Rattus norvegicus: one gene and its partner. The protein of the gene in region 1 interacts with the protein of each later gene in a pairwise test. Links are inferred from orthologs where the notes say so. Each region holds a gene or a part of one and is shown in the gene's direction. Other genes may lie near its edges.

Region 1 (5,531 bases):
AGCCATTTTGTGGCCAGATGCCGCGCAAAGGACTTCGGGAAAGGCTCTCACACCGCGCGCTTGGCGCGGGACTGGCTTCGTCTGGAGCAGTGCATGCTGGGAAGGCAGGTCTGAACCCAGAAGCCAACGCAGAGTAGGCGGGGCTTAGGTGGGGCCAAAGGGTTCTGACCTGGGGACCTCAGTCGGTGAATCCCAGAAGCCGGTCCCATTCCTCGGATCCCTAATCCTGCCAGACACGAGTTAGTTAAACAGACAGAAGCTCCCGGAGAATGGGACCATCGTCTGGGACCTGGGCCCCCTCTAAGGGCTGAGAGAGCACATTCCCAGTCGGCCACCAGAACTCTGTAACTAAATGGATCTTGTTTGGGGACTGTTTTCAATTAACCCTTGGGGGGTTGGGGATTTGGCTCAGAGGTAGAGCGCTTGCCTAGCAACCGCAAGGCCCTGGGTTCGGTCCCCAGCTCCGAAAAAAAGAGGAAAAAAAAAAAAAAAGTAGCCGGCCTCTCAATTAACCCTTGGGAACTTGGTTAGTCCTTAACTAGGTCTGCAAAGCATATCTAACTTGGAACCTCCTACTATAAATGGAAGCATCTCCAGGTTGGGCATCTGTCTTTGAATTTAATCTCTTATCTTGAAATAAGAATACCGCTGGCGGGCTGGGGATTTAGCTCAGTGGTAGAGCGCTTACCTAGGAAGCGCAAGGCCCTGGGTTCAGTCCCCAGCTCCGAAAAAAAGAACCAAAAAAAAAAAAAAAAAAAAGAATACCGCTGGCTGCGTACAGCTAGACCCTTCTGCCTAAGATTAGTATTTAGAGCTGGAGCACTAAAATGAAGCCGAAAAATATTTCTAGGCTGAGTCCTTAAGACTTAATGTTTTGAGCCGCGTACTGCATGAAGGAATTAAGGACTCTTGTATTCCTTCCAAGGACAGGTACTCGATTAAAATTGCATTTGCTGAACTTGGAGCACACCCACAGAAAGCAGAGCGCCAACCACAACAAAAGTTTCGGAAATTAAAGTTCTTTCTACAAGGACAACTTGTTGCAGATAATCATTCCTGCCCAACATGGGGGTTCCGGGACAGGGGGAAAAAGTCTGCATACTCTGCAACAAATGGGAGTCTTTATTGCTTTTAATCGACCCTCAGCCAAATAACCAGTTCATTCGTGATTGGCTTGCTGCAGAAACCATGTGGCTCACAACCAACTGAATAACTGCAGGACCGGAAGAGATGCTGAGGTCCAAAACAGAAAGCAAAGGGGAAATGATCAACAGGAAACTGAGCCTATGGAATCAACTTCACGCAGATCTTGGACAGGATGTTTGCCTGGTTGCTAAGGAGAGGCTGACGCCTGCGAGGACTTGAGCGTGACCAGTGGAAGTAAGACAAGATTCAGCCAATGAAAAGAGTGCCGCAAGACTTAGGGTCCAATCAATGAAGGGCAGTAGTGTGGGTCGTACCAATATGTCCACAAGACAGGGGAATTCTTAGAAAACTACAGACAAGAGTTCACAAAGGTGAGCCCTCGGCGCATAAAACGGTGAAAATTTAGCTCTCATTATCCCTAAATGTTAATGCAGGACGAAAATAAGTCAGGCTTCCAGCCTGCACAGGGTTGTAGCAGACTTATTTCCCCTGCAGGTATTTAGCACGTGGTGCGCCCCGATTAGTCACGTGAGCCGGGTCCAAGATGGCGGCGGGGGTGGCCGGGTGGGGGGTTGAAGCAGAAGAGTTCGAGGATGCACCTGACGTGGAGCCACTGGAACCCACGCTTAGCAATATCATCGAGCAGCGTAGCCTTAAGTGGATCTTCGTCGGGGGCAAAGGAGGCGTTGGTAAGACCACCTGCAGGTAAGGAGACTCTAGCGGAGCCAAGAGGACGGGTGGGATGTACCACTGGACGAAGGGGAGGACAGGGACCGGCTTTTTCTTCCCGATCCCGGTAAAGCGAGCTAACCATGGCTCTACGGGGTTGTTTCTCTCCGGAAGTTACTGCAGCCTGCTGAAGATACCTCCTGAATGCAAGCCTAGCATCCTGAGTTGGATTATCCTTCCTTGGGTCTTGTGAATTAAGCGCTTGGGGCGTGCAGAGGAACATTTAAATTCCTCAGTCGGCCGGACAGTACCCCATCCCCGAACCCCAGGGAGTTCAGAGTAGAGGGAGCAAGCTGTCTAGTATAACGAACCTCCATTTGATGCCAGAGAGGGAAGGAGTAAAAGGGGGTGGAAAAGGCACGTGATTATGGTGCCTGAGTCCGTTGAAAGGTGAAGTACATCCTCCTGAACAAGTAGAGGGACAGAGGGAGAGTAGTCTGTGCCTGCTGGACAGCTGGACTGTGCCTTGGAGTGCCAAAAAGAAAAGGCCGAAGCAGGCGATCAACGAGAACCAATCAGTCAACTGAATGTTACCGTCCCATCCAAATCAAAGAGTCAAGTGGTGATCTCTGCAAGGATTAAGTAAGGCTTGATCCCACTGGGACCCACTCATACATTGGTCTTCAGGTCCCTGCTGATCCAGGTTTCTGTGGCGTTGCATATCCTGCTACAAACACCAGTACCAAAACTGGCTCATCCCCCTCCCCCCCCATATTCCCACGTTCTTTTGTGCAGCTGCAGCCTGGCGGTCCAGCTGTCTAAGGGACGGGAGAGTGTTCTCATCATTTCTACAGACCCAGCTCATAACATTTCAGATGCTTTTGATCAGAAGTTCTCCAAGGTGCCTACCAAGGTCAAAGGCTATGACAACCTCTTTGCTATGGTAAGTAAACCTGGCCCCAGTTCTGGCCAAGGTGCCCATAAGGTCTTTCGATTTTGTGTTAGTGATAAGTGTTCTACCCAGAGTGCATTCTTGGTACCCAGGGAGGCCAGATAAGGGCATCAGATCCCCTGGGACTGGAGTTACAGATGGCTGTGAGCCACCATCTGGGTACTGGGAATCCAGCACAGATCCGCTAGAAGAGGAGCCGTTGCTCTTTTTTTTTTTTTTTTGGTTCTTTTTTTCGGAGCTGGGGACTGAACCCAGGGCCTTGTGCTTCCTAGGTAAGCGCTCTACCACTGAGCTAAATCCCCAGCCCCAGGAGCCGTTGCTCTTAACACCGAGACATCTCTCCATCCCCAACCGTGAGGCCTTTTGAGGTACTCTCGTTGAGTACCTACCAGCACCCACCAGGCCAACCGTAGTCTCCATACTCAGCGCTTGGGTGTCAACACTTTCCTCCACATATTCCCAGAGGAACATGTGGAAAGGCAGCCTTTAAGAAGCAGGGAGGAAGGGCTGGAGAGATGGCTCAGCAGTTAAGAGCACCCGACTACTCTTCCAGGGGTCCTGAGTTCAATTCCCAGCAACCACATGGTGGCTCACAACCATCTGTAAAGAGATCCGATGCTTCTGATGTATCTGAAGACAGCTACAATGAACTTATATATAATAAATGAATACATCTTTTTAAAAAAAAAAAAAAAAAAGAAGAAGCAGGGAGGAAGGTGGAAGTGGAACTTCGTGAGCAGGGGAAGGAGAAAGACCAACCAGAGATGCACACCGTGGCTCTGCCAGCTGGGCAAGCAGTTTGTCTTAGAGTCTAAGTTTGATAGATTTTTTTTTTTAAATATACAAAGCTATTCCTTTAATGAATTAGTTTATTTTTAGTTATGCGTGCAGGGACCAGAGGTATCAAGTCTCCCTTGAGATGATGTTCACAGGCAATTGTGAACTCCCACCCATAGGTGGGTACTGGGAACTGAATGAGGGTCCTCTGGAAGATCAGTGCACACTCTTAACTGCTGAGCCATCTCTAGCTACATGCGCATGTCTTGGTTGCTGTTATAATTGTGTTGTGAGTAGTGGTGCTGCTGTTACTGCTTGAGGTGAAGGCCAGGGCATCCAGCATGCTACACAGTGCTAGACTGCGTTCCCAGCTCTCAAGTTTGAAAAGAACTGGGCGTGGTGGCACATACCGTTAATCCCTGCACTAGAGGCAGAGGCAGGTGGATCATTGTAAATCTGAGGCCATTGAAGCTACATAGTAAGACCCTAGCTTTAAAAAAAAAATAGCAAATCAGCTGAGAATAGCGGCACACACCTTTAATCTCAGCATTAGGGAGATGGGGGCAGGAGGATCTCTGAGTTCAAGGCCAGCCTGCTATACAAAGTGAGTTCCAGCACTGCCAGGGCTACACAGAGAAACCCTGTTTCTAAAGACATTTAAAAAGGGGGGTGGGGGGCTGGAGAGATGGCTCAGCGGTTAAGAGCACTCACTGCTCTTCCAGAGGTCATGAGTTCAAATCCCAGCAACCACATGGTGGCTCACAACCATCTCTAGAGATCTGATGCCCTCTTCTGGTGTGTCTGAAGATAGCTACAGTGTACTCATATATAATAAATAAATAAATTTAAGAAAAAGAGAAAAAGAAAAGAGCCACATGTCTGTCATGGGAATTGGATTGCAAATCAAGGGTGGGGTTGGGAAGAGTAACAAAAGGGCTGTGGATGTCCCCAGATCATAATGACACGGTAGTCAAAGGAAAGAATGGTGGGAAAGATGAGTAGTTAGATTTGGGGTATACTTTGGAAGTATATTTTGGAAGCAGTGAAGTTGCCAGGTACCGGCTATCTGTGTGTGTGTGTGTGTGTGTGTGTGTGTGTGTGTCTCTCTCTCTCTCTCTCTCTCTCTCTCTGGGGGGGGGTTGGGTGTGTGTGTACTGTGCTGTGTTGTACTGCACACACCATGCCCATGTGACACTGTGAACGTCAGAGGACATCCCCGGATGTTGGTGCTGGCTCTTCTAGTATTGTTTGAGACAGTCTGTCGTTTGCTGCTGTAAACACTAGGGTAGGTGGCCTGAGAGTTGCCAGGGCTTCTCCTATCTTAACTATAGCAGCCTAGGGATTATAGAATCATGTTACCACGTCCACCTTTACTTGGGTTCCAGAGATCCAAATTTCAGTCCTCACATACTCACACAAGTATTTTGTCCACTAGGCCATGTTTTTTATTGTGTGTGTATGTGTATGAGAGAGAAATTCTACTTGTGTAAGATATGTGCTACTTGCATGAAGGTCTTAGGCGTAAAGACAACTTCAGGTGCCCTAGAACTAATAATATATGATGTGTTCCCTGGAACTAATTGTGATGTGATTTGGGTGCTAGAAATTAAACCTTGGTTCCCTGCAAAATACCAAGTGCTCTTAACTACTGAGCTTCTGAGGCATCTCTCCAGTTCTCATTATTCTGGGTTTTTGTGTTGTTGTTGTTGTTTTGGTTTGGTTTTTGACTGGTTGGTTGGTTGGTTGGCTGGCTGGCTGGCTGGCTGGTTTTTTGAGACAGAGTCTCGTGTAGCCTGATATGGCCAACTATGTTGTCAAGGATGACCTTCCGTCCTCCTCTAAAGTGCTGGTATGACAGGTATGTGTCCTTGGTGCCTGACAGAAATTGCATCATTTTGATAAATATGTGTGTAGATGTTGTGCCTACACGTATGTTTGTGTGCTATGTACATGCAGTGCCCTCAGAAGCCAGAAGAGGGTGTCGGAT
Region 2 (5,615 bases), on another chromosome or scaffold:
ACCTCTGCTGGTTAAGTTGTCTGCTCCTGAAGAAAGAAGCCATCTTGGTGGTAGAGAAAGACAGCATATTCTGAAATCTGAGGGCTGGGAGTTCAAATCCTACCATGTCACCTTGTGTACACATCTGGTAGCCTTGTGAGGTGGTACTCACAGCCTTTCCCCAGATGGCCCCTGAAGACTCCCCCAGACTCATCTGCCTCACCCCTTCTTAATTCAAACAGCCAAACCCTCCCCTCAGACTCTGTGCCTTCATAGTCACTGCCCCACCCCAACTCTAAAGCCTTCACTTGCTCAGCCTGCCTGACTTTAACTATCCCATTTCTCTCTCACTACATTCTCTGCTGTGACCATCACTGGGCCTTAAAGCTCCACAGTTTCTTCTTCCTCAGCATCTGCTCTTGCCTTTTCCTGTATAAAGCATCACAGGAAAGCCAGAGGGACCTATCTGCTATAGGTGGGCCTCACTAAGATGCTTAAGCAGCAGAATCAAAAAGCAAAACTTCATTTCTTGGTTTAAAGCTTGTAATTTTTTTAATACAATGTCTCACTATGAAGTCACACACAGTTGGCCTAGTACTATGTACATAGACCAGGTTGACCACTAACTCAGAGATCCGCCTGCCTCTGTCCCCCAGATGCTGAGATTAAAGGCATTGGCTATCATGCCTGGTAAACCTGTAAACTTTATTGTGGCCCACTAGGCCGCCTGACCTCACTCCTACCTCCCCTCCCCAGCCCTCCCCCCGCCTCCCCCCACCCCCAAGCGTTCTTTCCTGTCAGCCAAACTAGCCTTCGTTGCCCAGTGTATCATATTTCACTCTCCCTGGAAACCTCTGCACAAGCTTCCTGCTTTTACCAGAATAATTTCTATTCATTTGTCAGAATTCAGTTCAAACCTCCTTTCATTTGCCCACACACACACCCTCAGCTTTGTTACTGTACTGTGGTACAGTACTTGCTACAACAGCAGTTTTAGAGTTAACTGTGAATTATTTGGTGCCTTATCTCCCTCTGAATAGAAAGCACACATCTTGTTCATCACTGCACAAGAGACACCTAAAGCTGAACTTGGCATAGAACCCGTACCCCAAATGAGTCATACTAAGTCACCACCGGACGCTTGGCCCCTTTATGGGTATCATTGGCAATTTCTGAGCCTGGGAAATGCTGTAGCATGCTGTCCAGGTCTCTTGTCACTAACTTGAGAATCCAGCTGCTAGCCATGTTAGTGTCCACAAAGCCTTTAACTGTCAGCTGCTCCAGATACGGGGCCTTCTTGGCTCCTGTTGCATCTCCTGTCAGGAGACACTAATCCAGTGATTGACTAGATAGGCAAGCTCTCCTTAACCCCCCTGCATGGCTGGAATTCAAACCGCATTAGATTCTGGTCTCCCAGACTTGTCTGACTTCTTTCTCCCTTTGGGAGAAACGCTACACCCCTTAACCTAAAGTTTGTACACATCTTTCAGCTATCAAATTGTTTTCCATCACTATCCTGTTACAGTCCAGTACTCCCAATTCTACACTAACTAGGTGTATTCCTGTGAAGAAATTGGGGCTCAGAGTGGTGGAGCGATCTGCCTAAGGTCAGGCACTAGAAGCTAATCCTCACGCAAAGATTTTCTCCTCTATCTCCCTATTAAGTCTCTGCATCTTGAGTTTGAGCTTGAGCGAATTTTGGGCTCAGCCTCAAGAAAACGGGATCCGGCGATCTGAAGCTGACCGGCGGAGCACAGATAGGGAAACTGAGGTCCAGAGCCAGGACTCTGCGCCTGCAGAGGCATCTGCGAAGGGGCGCGTCCTGCCCAGCGGGCCGCCTCTTCCCGCCCCCAACGCTGGGGTCCCGTCTGCCTTGTCTTTGCCCTCGCCAAGTCGCCACCTCGGAAGTGAGCCATGGTTGCGGCTGTGGCGACGGCGTGGCTGCTCCTGTGGGCCGCGGCCTGCACGCAATCCGAGCAAGACTTCTACGACTTCAAGGCGGTGAACATCCGGGGCAAGCTGGTGTCGCTGGAGAAGTACCGCGGCTCGGTGAGTGACGGTCCCTTGCGGGCCTGGCGCAGAGTGGGGAGGGGCTTGCAGGGGGCCCCGGGGCAGGGGTTCAGCCGGATGCTTGTCTTGGGTGTGCCACGGCTCGGACACCACCCCGGGCATCCTGGCTGCGCGATCCGTGCATTCAGCGCTCCCAGGCCTCTTTTTCCACTCAGGCCTGCGGCTACGTGGCACAGCTCAGGAGCTACCCGCTCTGACTGAGCTCGGCAAGGCTCAGGATCCCACCCGGAAGGTGAATGCCCTCCACTCTCCGCTTTGCCTCTCCCAAGAGCCTTTATGGCCTTTTGCCGGTCCAGCCTACGCCTGTAACAGTAGGTCCAATGAGAACGCAGAGAGACAAATGGGCAGTGGAGGGAGTTACCACCTGAAATGGACCCTTTCATGATTCTTAGAATCCACCCTCAGCCCCTGAGAGCGAAGACAGAACATTCGAAAGCAATCCAAGTTGTAAGAGAACCCCACCCACACCCCTCCCATCCTTGAGCCTTCCAAGGCCCACCCCTTAGAGAGCAGTTGTGATGGAGTTGCTAGTGGACCGGCCCTTACTTACCAGACCGAATCACAGTAAGGAGGAAGTGTGTCAGGATTGGGTCTTTTAAATAAGACTTGAGCAAGACAGATCAATCCAGACAAAGAGAGCTGGCCAAGTCCGGACATAGAAGCAAAACAACAAGAAAGGTCAGGGGGACCAGAGATTTCAATAGCCGGTACTTAAAGGATACAAACAGCTAGACTGAACGGTGTTAGATGAGGCTGACTCGGCCAGGGAGCCTTTAAACTATAAAGTTCAGAGACTCTGGTGTTACACTGTGTTGACGAATCCTCTCAAGAGAGGAGCATGGTGGCACACGCCTTTTATCTTTTATCCCAGCAAGCCGGAGGGAGAGAGAGAGAAACTGATGTCTGTGAGTTCAAGGCCAGTTTAGTGTCTGTCTACTTAGGGAGCTCCAGAAAGCCAGGGCTATACAGACTCTATCTCAAAAAAAAAAAAAAAAAGTAATTAAAAAATTTAAAATCCTTCAAAGAATCTTCTGTGTCTTGAGATGGACTTGGAGATCCTGGTGTGAAGACATGGTGTTGGACACTAACGGACATGTGACCCCATCATCCAAATTTGGATGGATCACAAAAGAATGGTTCAGTATGCTTTTCCTGCAAGCAAGGGCATCTTTGGGGACAAAACTATTCTCAATAGCCTTGAAGGTCTCGATGACACTGGGAGTCCTTGCCCTGACCAGTGTGCTATAAATTTCAAGTGAGAATACGGTGTGGAAGCATTAGGCAAGCTTTAGGTGCTCTGTATGGATGGTAGGTCAATGACAACATCCAAAACTCCAGACAAAGAACAGCAAAGAGCAAGGCCATTATTACTAGTCAGGCCTCCCCTTCCCAGAGACCCCCAATTTATCACCTGAGCAGCTCTGACAGCCATTAACTAATTGTTTGTTATTCAGCACCTACTATATACTAGCTAAACACCCACGCCCTGAAGATAAACAGTAGTGATTAAAACAAGTTCATGTTTTAATCAAGTTTGGGGTGGGGAGGACAATAAACAAGGCACTGAAAACTGAACCAGGGAATCCCAATAGCAATGAGAGCTTTAAAAAAGGCCAGTGTATGGTACAGGCCTTTAATCCTAGCGCTTGGGAGCCAGAGGCAGGGAGAACTCTGTGAGTTCCAGGCCAGTCTGGTCTACAGAATAAGTTCCAGAACAGCCAGGGCTCTTACACAAAGAAAACCTGTTTCAAACAAACAAACAAACAAACAGCAAAGAACTTTAAAAATACTAAAAGGTATAGGATACAGAGTTAGCCTGCATACAATTAATCCTAGCACTTGGGTGGCAGAAGCAAGCAGATATCTGAATTCAAAACCAGTCTGGCCAATATAGCAAGTCACAGGCCAGCTCGGGTATGTTAGGTAATGAGCTCTTGTCTCAAAAAGTTAAAATAAATAAAGATAGAGTTAGAGAGCCAGTAAAATCGTGGGTATGCCAAGCCTGAGGTCCTAAACTCAGGACTTATATGGTGAAAGGAGGGAACCACTTTCTGCAAGCCACCCTCTGATCTCCATACATACACACCATGGTGTGGAGGACCACCCTTCCCATTTTGTTTTGTTTTTAAGAGCTAGAGTTAGAATTTAAATCCCGGCAGGACAAGTCTTGGGTCTCTGCCCTTAAGTGCTAAGCTCAGAGAGAAAGCAGGGAGCAGTCAACCCAGGGAAGCTGGTTAACCTAAGCTGGGCCTGCTGCTTGGGCCACACCTTCATCCGTTCACTACTGACCATTCGCTGTCTCCCTACTACACACCTGACACTGGGTGTAAGGAAAAGTGGAAGGGCAGTCACTTGCCCGTGGTTGAGCATGAATGTTGAGGTAGTCACTTCTTGGGAGGGCATATGTATCTACCTATAGGGTGGAATGTATCAGAGAGAGAGAGAGAGAGAGAGAGGGAGAGAGAGAGAGAGAGAGAGAGAGAGAGAGAGAGAGAGGTTTTATTTGCTTCTTTATGTACATCTGAGTCTGTGAAGAGTCTAAGAAGCAAGAGTTCCCCCTTCACAAAGACTAGGGAAACACATGATACAGGATAAAAGGAAGCTTTTTAATGCTTTCAATGAAGGTCAGCAGGATAGAAGGTGGGAGACCCTTAACTGGGGAAGGAGAGAGTTCTAATCTTTTTTTATCACCCCAGGCAGAGTGATAGATCTAATTAGCTCAATGATTCTTATTGTTAGCTAGGTGCTGGTGGCGCACACCTTTAATCTAGCCCCTGGGAGGCAGAAGCAGGTGGATCTCTAGGAGTTTGAGACCAGCCTGCTCTACAAAGTTGGGGGAAAGCCAGGACTACACAAAGAAACTCTGTTTTGGGGATAAAAAAGATCTTTGTTATTACATTTTTGTGTGGGTGTGTGCTCGGGGTGTGTGTGTGTGTGTGTGTGTGTGTGTGTGTGTGTGTGTTTGTGTGTGTGTGTGCATATGTGTGTGTGTGCATGCCTGTTGTTGTGTCATGGTGGAGATTCTGTGGGGCCCTGGGATTGAACTCAGATTGTCAGACTTGGGGGCACATCCTCATCTCTCCAGTGTTTTGTTTTGAGAACGGGATCTCATTATGCAGTGCCTGGCCTGAAACTTGCTATGTAGACCAGGCTGGTCTTGAACTCACAGAGATCCCTTGCCTCTATCTCGTATGCTACATTCAGGGATCAAAGACATGCAACTTTTTTTTTTCTTTTCTTTTAAAGAGACAGTCTTACTGTGTAGTCTCGGCTGAAATTTGAAATTTGAAATTCTGCTGCCTCAGCCCCCTTAGGACTGGAATCACAGATGTGAGCCACAACCCCAGGGGGAAAAATTTTTGGTTGTCAAACCTAGGTATCTAGTGGGTACAGGCTAGGATGTACCAAATAGGATGCCAAATACTCTACGATAAACAGGACAGCTCCCCACAGGGAGACCCATAGTTTTAGTACTGCTGAATCTGAGACCTGAGCAATTTGTGTCCAGAGTTCCAGACTGACCCCGGGAAATGATCTTCATTGGGTAGCCAGGTGATATCATCCCA

What was found. The genes of interacting proteins can lie anywhere in the genome.
Region 2: the proteins of Get3 (region 1) and Gpx7 interact in binary tests that used the Homo sapiens proteins (3 or more experiments, as listed by UniProt). The two-hybrid records come from large-scale screens. The link is inferred for Rattus norvegicus from reciprocal best matches to the Homo sapiens genes GET3 and GPX7.

Annotation. Positions count from the first base shown.
Region 1 is NC_086037.1:40,033,297-40,038,827, forward strand, and holds the start of Get3 (ATPase GET3), read left to right. Parts: upstream 1-1,680; 5' UTR 1,681-1,690; coding exon 1,691-1,851; intron 1,852-2,610; coding exon 2,611-2,758; intron 2,759-5,531. Other genes in the region: Trir (telomerase RNA component interacting RNase), read right to left, coding at 1-6.
Region 2 is NC_086023.1:128,377,946-128,383,560, reverse strand, and holds the start of Gpx7 (glutathione peroxidase 7 precursor), read left to right. Parts: upstream 1-1,835; 5' UTR 1,836-1,893; coding exon 1,894-2,028; intron 2,029-5,615. UniProt on the Homo sapiens protein: It protects esophageal epithelia from hydrogen peroxide-induced oxidative stress. It suppresses acidic bile acid-induced reactive oxygen species (ROS) and protects against oxidative DNA damage and double-strand breaks.